Neurospora crassa OR74A: one gene and its partner. The protein of the gene in region 1 interacts with the protein of each later gene in a pairwise test. Links are inferred from orthologs where the notes say so. Each region holds a gene or a part of one and is shown on either strand. Other genes may lie near its edges. The genes, in order: bdp-2 and NCU09208.

Evidence for each region.
Region 2: the proteins of bdp-2 (region 1) and NCU09208 interact in binary tests that used the Saccharomyces cerevisiae proteins (3 or more experiments, as listed by UniProt). The link is inferred for Neurospora crassa OR74A from reciprocal best matches to the Saccharomyces cerevisiae genes SPT7 and SPT8.

What each region holds. Positions count from the first base shown.
Region 1 is NC_026507.1:3,090,764-3,095,127, forward strand, and holds the start of bdp-2 (transcriptional activator spt7), read left to right. Parts: upstream 1-1,447; 5' UTR 1,448-1,724; coding exon 1,725-2,868; intron 2,869-2,934; coding exon 2,935-4,085; intron 4,086-4,160; coding exon 4,161-4,364. UniProt on the Saccharomyces cerevisiae protein: Component of the transcription coactivator SAGA complex. SAGA acts as a general cofactor required for essentially all RNA polymerase II transcription. At the promoters, SAGA is required for transcription pre-initiation complex (PIC) recruitment.
Region 2 is NC_026501.1:5,840,543-5,844,925, reverse strand, and holds NCU09208 (transcription factor SPT8), read right to left. Parts: upstream 2,959-4,383; 5' UTR 2,785-2,958; coding exon 676-2,784; 3' UTR 106-675; downstream 1-105. Other genes in the region: NCU09207 (hypothetical protein), read right to left, coding at 3,549-4,383. UniProt on the Saccharomyces cerevisiae protein: Component of the transcription coactivator SAGA complex. SAGA acts as a general cofactor required for essentially all RNA polymerase II transcription. At the promoters, SAGA is required for transcription pre-initiation complex (PIC) recruitment.

The DNA of each region.
Region 1 (4,364 bases):
CAGTCGAGGTCCAAATCGAACCCGATAACAGATAAGCTCGACATAGGTAGCTAAGTACTGTAATAAGTATGGAAGGTACGGAACTCGGCGAAATGCAGACGGAATCGTGAGCTGAGCGACAGGGACGGGGGCAAACCGTGCTGTTGGACTGGACAACCTCAAGAGGAAGAGACTGGACAAGGAAAGGAAGCAAATCAGCGTCAGAGGAAAGCAGTCCATCGCTGCAGAGTGGTTCGCTCGTTGATCACGACACAGAGTTACAGGCCCAGCCCCAGGTACACAGCTACCTACAGACGTCTACACGTGCTCTTCACTGCCATTGACTACGTAAGAACGGGGCATCGGTGGGCATGGGCAGGGCATGGCATTGGGGAATGGGCAGATGGGACCTGAACGGGGTGGGCGGGGCTTCTCCGCGAAATGGGCACGACTCCACGAGGGAAAAGGAGTGCCCGTGACGGGACTCTCACAAGAGGGAGGCACTAGGGCGGGCGGTGGGAAAGGCATGCCCCTGGACATCATCCCATGGGACCCGGGGAGAAGAATGACGATCCCTGCCTTGCGTTGCTCGTCCTGCTTGACGATTCCTACATCGATATATTCCACGAGCCCGTCTCTATGCTTGCTGTTTTGTGGACTGTGTACCATCTATACTTATCCCTGGAGTGAGAGGCCAATATGTTACTATGGACAGTTCCTACTCAGACACACAGAGACAAGATAGTAAAGCTAGTTTAAGTGACTGACTCTTTGCGTTTCCGGAAACCAATTACCTTAGCAGCGGGGGCGGCTCCGTTCTCTGGTCCATATGATACTACGCCAAAGCCCGGGGACAGGTTCACCAAAAGACACCCATGGAGGCACGGCCAAGGTCTCACGTGACTTTAGCATTTCCCCAGAGCGCTGCTTCTCACTCCGCCAGAGCGGGTACCGTACGTGCTTCCTTGGAACAGCGAAATACCTCTACGTATTCAACTCTTCTTGTACAACTTGGAATTGCCGCGCTCACCGACAGCTCCAGCTTTGTTAACTTTTCCTGGTGCTCGGCGATCACCTGCGCAGAATCCCCATCACCTGTCTTAATTGGGGCGCAAGTCGAAAAAAGGGGCGCCGCAATCACTACCTACCTAGGTACCTATCTGCTGCTAGTGTACGGCTAGACGGGAACTACCTACCTCCCTAGGTACATACCTACCTAACTTCGCGGCGTCGCGTACCAGCTCCAGTGCGGCATTACCCACGGCACCACACCACCTACCACAGGCAACCTAAGGGAATCCAGCGCCAAGTACAGGTAGCCGGTACCTACAACCTGTCGCCCTCTAGATGTTAGTGCTAGGGGCGTGTACAGCACCTCAGTCAACGTCAATTCATAACTCTCCCTAACATCGCCGCTGCTGCACCCGTCACCCGCGACCTGGGCTGCTCTGACCAAAACCGCCCGCCCCTTGTCCAGAAACGGCACGACGGGGAGCCCACTCTAAACTTGACCTCACGTCTGACTTCCCAGCAGAACAGCCGCAACGACATCCATCGCCGCATCACCACCACAGCCCCTATTCCGCTCTCGACTGCAGTTCCATCTCGACCGATGCCCCTCTTTCTCCCCATGTGACCAGGTCGCCCCAAAGTGCCTTGGTGCCGGATATACACGAGCGCACTTTCTGGCGCATGGCGACCGACCGCCGGCCCCGTTTAATATAACTCCACGACCCGGTCCGAAAATGTCCATTACCAACGGTCAGCATGCCTGGCCTCCGCCCTCGACCGCCGCCCACATGAACGGTATCAGGGCCGTCATCCCCCACCCCAGCCAGGACGATGGGCCCCCGCGAACCCAGACTCCCTTTGATAATTCCACCACCGCCTTGATGCCTGAGGCACCGTCCTCCGACCCCGACGACGACCAGCGCCGCTCCCACTTCGTTGACAAGTACCACAAGGCCGACGAGCGGATCGCGCTGCTGTTCGCCGATGACGGCTCCTACAACATTCCCGTCATAGCCGCCTTGAAGCGCGCCCCGACACCCCCCATACCCCTGCTCCCTCCCACGACCGATCACGCGCCGATCCAGGAGCCCCCCCGCAAAAAAGCGAAGCGCGTCATCGACGAGGACGACTATGGCGACGACGACGACGACGACGAAGACGACGACGATCAAGAAAGCGATCACCCCGTCGCGACTGACACCAAACCAGACACACAACTAACATCCAAACATTCCGCCAACGATGCCGCGGCTCGGGCACTCCTCTCCCCGTCCAAGTCCGGCAGCTCTCCCGTCCACTCGATACCCTCGCCAGGGCGGCAAGCAGACCGGCAAACAGCCAAGGAAGATGGATCGCAACCCCAGACAAAGTCCTCCGAGGATGCGCGCAGGGAATTGGAGGCGGCGCGCAATGCGACCGAGGAGGCGGCCAAGCGCGGATTTCATACCCTCTTTTACACACTCGAGAACGACAGGACAGCAATGCTCGAACAACAGCAACTGGAGGAATCCGAGAAGCAACTACAAGCAGAGATGGACAAGTCGGGACAAACAAACCACAGTCAAGGAGCCCCCAGCCAAAACAACCACGGCTCTCTCAGCAGTGCCAACCTCGGCGCTTCAAGTCTTACCCTCAAACACTTGATTGCCCGAATAGACATGAAGCGCGACCGCGTGCAGGCATCGGACGCTGAACTACGGTCGCTTATGAACGAGGTTCGCAAGAACAGGAGTAAATGGGCTAGCGAGGAAAATGTCGGCCAGGAAGAGTTGTACGAGGCACTGGACAAGGTCTTGACCGAGCTTAAGGCGCACACCGAGTACTCAACTCCCTTTTTGACCAAAGTGAACAAACGTGATGCGCACGACTATTATAATAGTGAGTTTTTTTGGGGTTAACGTATGGAACACTCGCTCGCCCAGTTTAGGCTAACACCGTGGTCAGTCATCAAACAGCCAATGGACCTAGGTACAATGGCCAAAAGACTCAAGACCCTCCACTACAAGTCCAAGGCCGAGTTTGTCACGGACCTCAACTTGATTTGGGATAACTGTCTTCGATATAACCAGGACTTGGCCAATCCTCTCCGCCGGATGGCCAATGGGATGCGCAAGGAGGCTGAGAAACTAATCCCCCTAATACCGGACATCGTGATCAGGCCCAGGGCAGAGGTCGAAGCCGAGGAACGCCGAAAACAGAACGGCGGCGAGGACGAGGCTGGCGATGACAGTGACGACGAGCCAATAATGTCATCTCGTGGACGAAAGGCCGGTACCAAAGGGACCAACAAGTCACGGAAAGCACCAACAGACCAAAAAGAAGGGACACCAAGCGTCGACCAAAAACCGATATTGCAACTCAACGGTATCCTAGCCAAGTCTCACAGAGAGGGCTCCGAGGTCGACGGCAGCAATGGATTTGGGACGCCTATCGGCGGGTCCCTTACACCCAGCAACATAAATGGTGGACACTCGGGGGTCAGCAACGCGGATGCCATGGAGCTGGATGGGCCATCACTCAACGGAATGGCCTTGAATCATGCCTTCAGAGAAGCGGAGGAGCAGGCGTATGAGGACGAAGAGTACAAGATCTGGAAACAAGTAACGAAAAAGGATCGTGCTCTTCTGGCAAAGGAGCGTTTCCAGCTGTTCAAGGACAACAAGCTAAATCCCGACGAGCCTGCACTACTGCGAACCAAAGCCGGGATGCGTCGATTCCTGAAATCACGCAAAGAGGCAGAGGCCATGGGCGTGATCACCTCACAAGGCGATGCGCCTGGTAGTGGAGATGGCAACAAGGTGGCAGAGACATTAGCCCAGGGCATGGAGGATGAGACTATTCGGAATGTCCCTGCTTATTACGAACCCCAAACGATCATACCCGATATCCCATCAAAGCTACAATGGGTCGAGGATGGCGAGGGACAAGTGATTAATCAGCATGAAGAGTTCCTTCGGCTCGTCCCTCCCGGTCAATTCACCGCCCCAGAGAGTCGGCTGACCAAGAAGTTCGATGCCAACATTCGGCAGATGCAAGAGACTCGCAAACTGTGCTCCAAGATCAGCGTCATCAAGCAGATGCAGATCCAGACTCAGGTAGGCTTTGCGAGCCCAATGAAGCGTGATTCTTTTTCACCTTGACGGCTTAGATGCTGACATGCAAATGAATAGGTATATACGAATCAGTTCCCGAAGTATAACCCGGAGCCGATGGTGGAAGCCGATATCGAGCCCACCTTTCTCGCCGGCGAAGGTCCCGTCATGGCCCCCGAGGTGTGCAGGGCGGCATTACAACGATCCGTTGCCAAGATCTTCTATCATGCGGGCTTCGAGGAACTGCAGCCCTCCGCCCTGGATACGATAACCGACATTGCT
Region 2 (4,383 bases), on another chromosome or scaffold:
AAGGACGTCGCCAATCCAACGAGAGAGAAGAGCCTGACTAGTAGTTGGGTCGGCGACGACCAGCCAATTCCAAGTATTGGAATTAATTTTTTTTTTTTTTTTTTTCAATTATTATTTCAAGGTGCGGTGCAATCTTGCTTTGTAGTTCCTGTCTCTCTTTCAGTCGCTAATCCTGACCGTCTTTTGCTTCTTGGTCCCTGTTGTTGAACTTGGAGTGGTGGAGTGGATGATGTGGGTGATGAGATCTGGGTTTCTGGTACGCTTTTATCAAAAGATACAGGTACCGCTGCATACTTAGCTATGGGACCGGTATAAACAACCGCTACCAAAATAAACATAGAACGCCAGCCCAGACAGGATGAGTATAACTAGACAAGAAGAATTTCAACCTGACAGAAAAGGAAAAAGGCGACGGAATACACATAGGTCTTGTGGCCCATGATCCATTTAGCTTACTGTGGACTGACTGACTGACTTGTTGAAAACTTCAACCCTCCTCAGCGAAGTCAAGAAGCAAAACGTAGTAGAAAGAGAGGATGTCCGGCAAATTAGGAAGAAGGCGATAATAATGAAAGGACCGAAGAAAAGAAGACAACCCAATACCACAGCGTTTTCCAACTTCCTTTGTGATCTTTTCTGCCAACTTTCCTTCTCGCGACACTCGTCGTTGTCCTCTTACTTCACCGGTGAAATCTCGTACCCAATCAACACCTCCGTCGACGTACCATCCCACCCCCTGGTCCCCGCCGCCGAGATCATAATCCTGCTCGTGGGATCGATATACAGACTTGAAATGACGCCCGCCTTGGGGGGACCGGGGACAACCACAAAAGGCACTTTGGAATGCTTCGTCGCTTGCGTCTCGCCCTGCAAGTCCCACAACCGCAAAATGTCGTGCGACGCGCAGATAATATGTCGCCCGTTGGCCATGGGCCGCACGCAACTGACGGCTCCGCTGCCGTTGGGAAATTTCAGGGTGCGCTCGGGCTGCCACCCGCCGCGCGCCTTGTGGATACTGAATTCTTCGACCGTGCCGTTACGTCGGCCGGCATAGATCCAGTTGCCATCGACGGACCAGCAGGCGCCCATGCACCAGGGCGGGACGCCGCGCCGGTTGCCGATACGAGCGACGGGGTCGGGGACCCGTCGGTCCCAGATACGGATGGTGCCGTCAATGGAGGCGGCCATGAAGATGTTGGGGGCCGTTTGGGTGTCGTCGTTTTGCGGGGCAGGAGGAGGGGCTGTGTTGACAACCATGCTGGGGGAGGCTGGGGCGATGGGCTCGAAGGGGATAGGTTCGTGCTCAGTTGGGTGGATGGGGTTCTGGTCTCGTGGTGGTTGTTGTTGTTCCTGATGTTGCTGGGTTTGTTGCTCGGGGTTCGTGGCTGGTTGGTGTCCGAAGTCTGACATAGTGTGACTAGAGTCGCCGTTAAATGTGTCCATGTTGATGGTCCCGTTCTCGGCTGGCTCGATGGCATTGAGCCCGGGTCCCTGAGCAGTGTTCGTGTCCATTATTGTGTCGGTATCCCCCATTGGGAAATCGTCGGTGTGCCCTTGGTTTTTCTGTTCCTCCTCGAGTTCCATGCCCATAGCTCTGGAAAACTCATTGTCGTCGTCATCATCCCCAAAGGCATTCCCACCGCCTATTGTTTCGTTGTCCCCGAAGAGTGACCCTGCAGGACTACCGAACAGCGACTCATGTTCTGGTGACGGGACATCATTCACGGCGCCGTCGTTCGCATTGGATTGCCCCGTCGTATCCATATCGCCATGCGCGCCATTAGAGAAAAAGCCGTTCAAAACTGGCTTCGAGTTGTTACTCTCGAAAGTGTCCGTGATGATCTCGGGATCGCTCGCCTCGGCTGGGATCGGAGCACCCGAAGTCGGTCGTAACTCAATGGCCGATATTTGTCCACCGCTGCCCTCGAACCGCCGTATAACCGAGCCATCGTTGAGGTCCCAGTCCAGCACCGTCTTGTCCCAACTCCCACTCAGCACACTCTTCTCATCAGGCGCCAGTTGTAGCACGCTAACAGCATTAGTGTGCCCGTTCGTCCGCAGGCAGTGTATCCTCTTTCCCTCGTCGTGCCTCACGCTCTGTAAGTTGATGCCACCGCTTTCTAGACCACTCAGAGCCCACAAAGCCTGACGGTGCACCGCTAGACTGTATACCGGAGACAGAATCCTGTCGTCATCTCTAGTGTTCTGTCCTGTCCACTCCTGGTTGTCCCAATAGCTCATGAGCACTCCGGACTTGACAACACTGTCAACAAACGGATGCTTCTGGGCGACAGTGAGTTGTTGCTTGCCATTGATTGTGGCTATGCCGTCAAACTTTCGAATGTAGCCGTCGGATCCGCCCGTCAACCAGTAGCGCATGTCCGGGGTGACGGCTATGGCATTGATGCTGGTGGCTTGTGGGGCGGCCATGGTAGGAACGATGTCGTAGGTGGAAGCCGTAATGTACTCTGGTCTTATCGTTGGTCGCCATTTTGCCCCTGATCCCGAGCCTGAAGGTGTCGCGGAGACGCGTCTGGCTGTCTGGGACGTGGTTTGGTCGGCGGCGTTTGGGTCGTGGGCGTTTTGTGCTTGGGATTCGTCGAAGGGTTCTGCTTCCGGTTCGGGTTCTGGGTCTCGCTCGGGCTCGTCTTGGTCTTCCTGGTCTTCCTCTTCGTCTTCATTAAAGTCTTCGCCGTAGGTGTCGTTCTCGGCATCATCAGCGTCCTCCATGAGCTCGTCCTGCTCATTGTCGGAGCTTCCGTATTCTCGATCGTCTTCGTCCATTGTCCGTGTTGGTAGTGGTTCCGTAGAGGAGTTCAACTATACACGTGGTTATGCCAGGCATATAAGGGTATTGTATTCGATATCGTGTGACTGCTGTACCCAAGAGAAGAAAGTGGGAAAGTTGTGGGGGAAAGCAACCGGAAAGAGATGACAACGGGAGGAAGACGTTCCCAGTCCTGAAGGTTCCCGAATCGAAGCTACACTACATGCAACTGCGGCAGGCATTGATAAGGTTCAACCTCAGTGTTAAGCTTTAGCGGATCAGCAGGCCCGGAACGCTAACACCCCGCATCCCCCGCCGATTGCCAAACATAACAGGGTCAAGTCCTTGAGCTGTTGGCGGTTCAATGTGCCTGAGGTGGTTTTTGTTTGGCGGGCATGCAGCGACCACGCATTGTCCAATTACATGCAGGGCCATCAAGGTGCTTTCCATGTCAACCTCCTGGAATCAGTTCAAGATATCTTGCTGGCTAACATAATGCAAACAGAACGACGTCATGGAAATACGGAAATGAAGACAAGGTGGCAAGATAATGACAAGGAAATCCAACATGGATTGCGATACATCCAAAAGAAATCAAACCCCGAGCAAACAATGCAAACGTACTAGCGAAACCGAATCCTAGAAACAAATGAGGGCCTTATCCAACTCCGCCTCGGGTATGTATACTTCTCTTTTCTTTTCTTCTCTTCTCTTCTCTTCTCTTCTCTTCTCTTCCGAATATGACTGGGCCTAGCCGTTGCCTGGCCTCCATTATCCAAACTCAATCAGTCAGTTCCAGCCCCGTCTCACCTTCGTTCAGCACCACTACCACATACCGCCTCGAGCCCTCTGGCAACTCTTGCTCGGCCGCTTCGTCTGTCGTCTCCTCCGAGATGTGCATTGCAAGATCATGTAACTTCGGATCAGCCTTTGACAACACCTCAGGCGAACCATCGCGATTGATGGCTACGATGTAATGTGGTCGGCTTTGGAGCAGCTCAGGCGGCGCCGCGCCCTCTTCGAATACCACTACGTGCTTCTTGCTTTTAGAGTCCACGGATTCTTCGTCGCCGTTCTTGTTTGACTGTTTTGAGGATTGATCAACCGCGTAGCGGTTTCCAGTAACCAGGAGCGGATCTGTCTCCGGCAGGTGAGGAACCATCTTCATAAGGAGGCGATGCTCGGGGTTCTGGAGACGTGCCGGGATCGGTAAGTCGGTCTCGAAGGATGCTTGAAAGCGGAGTTGGGAGGCTGTAGAGCCGTCTGGCTGAAAACCTTCGCCCGGTGGCAGCGTGGACTGCGTGGTGGTTGCGAGGGAAAAGTTGCCTACGCTAAATTGTCGGCGACGAGTCTTGCTCGTGGAGGAGCTGCTCGATCCCGATGTCAAGTTGCTCCGCTCCGTTTTAGGTGCATGGAGAATTTCGTGATGAAGCTTGTCAAGACCTCCACTATGGCTTGTATGTGGATCTTGGTAGTAAGGCGACCTGTCAGGCGGATCGCCCTTGTCCAGCAAAGGTGCCGCCTCCTCGTCAGACGAATCTGCTGACGATGTTCCGGCGCTCTCAAAATTGGCTTCGGTGAGCAGCCCGCCCAAGAAGAATAATGCGGTTAGTCCT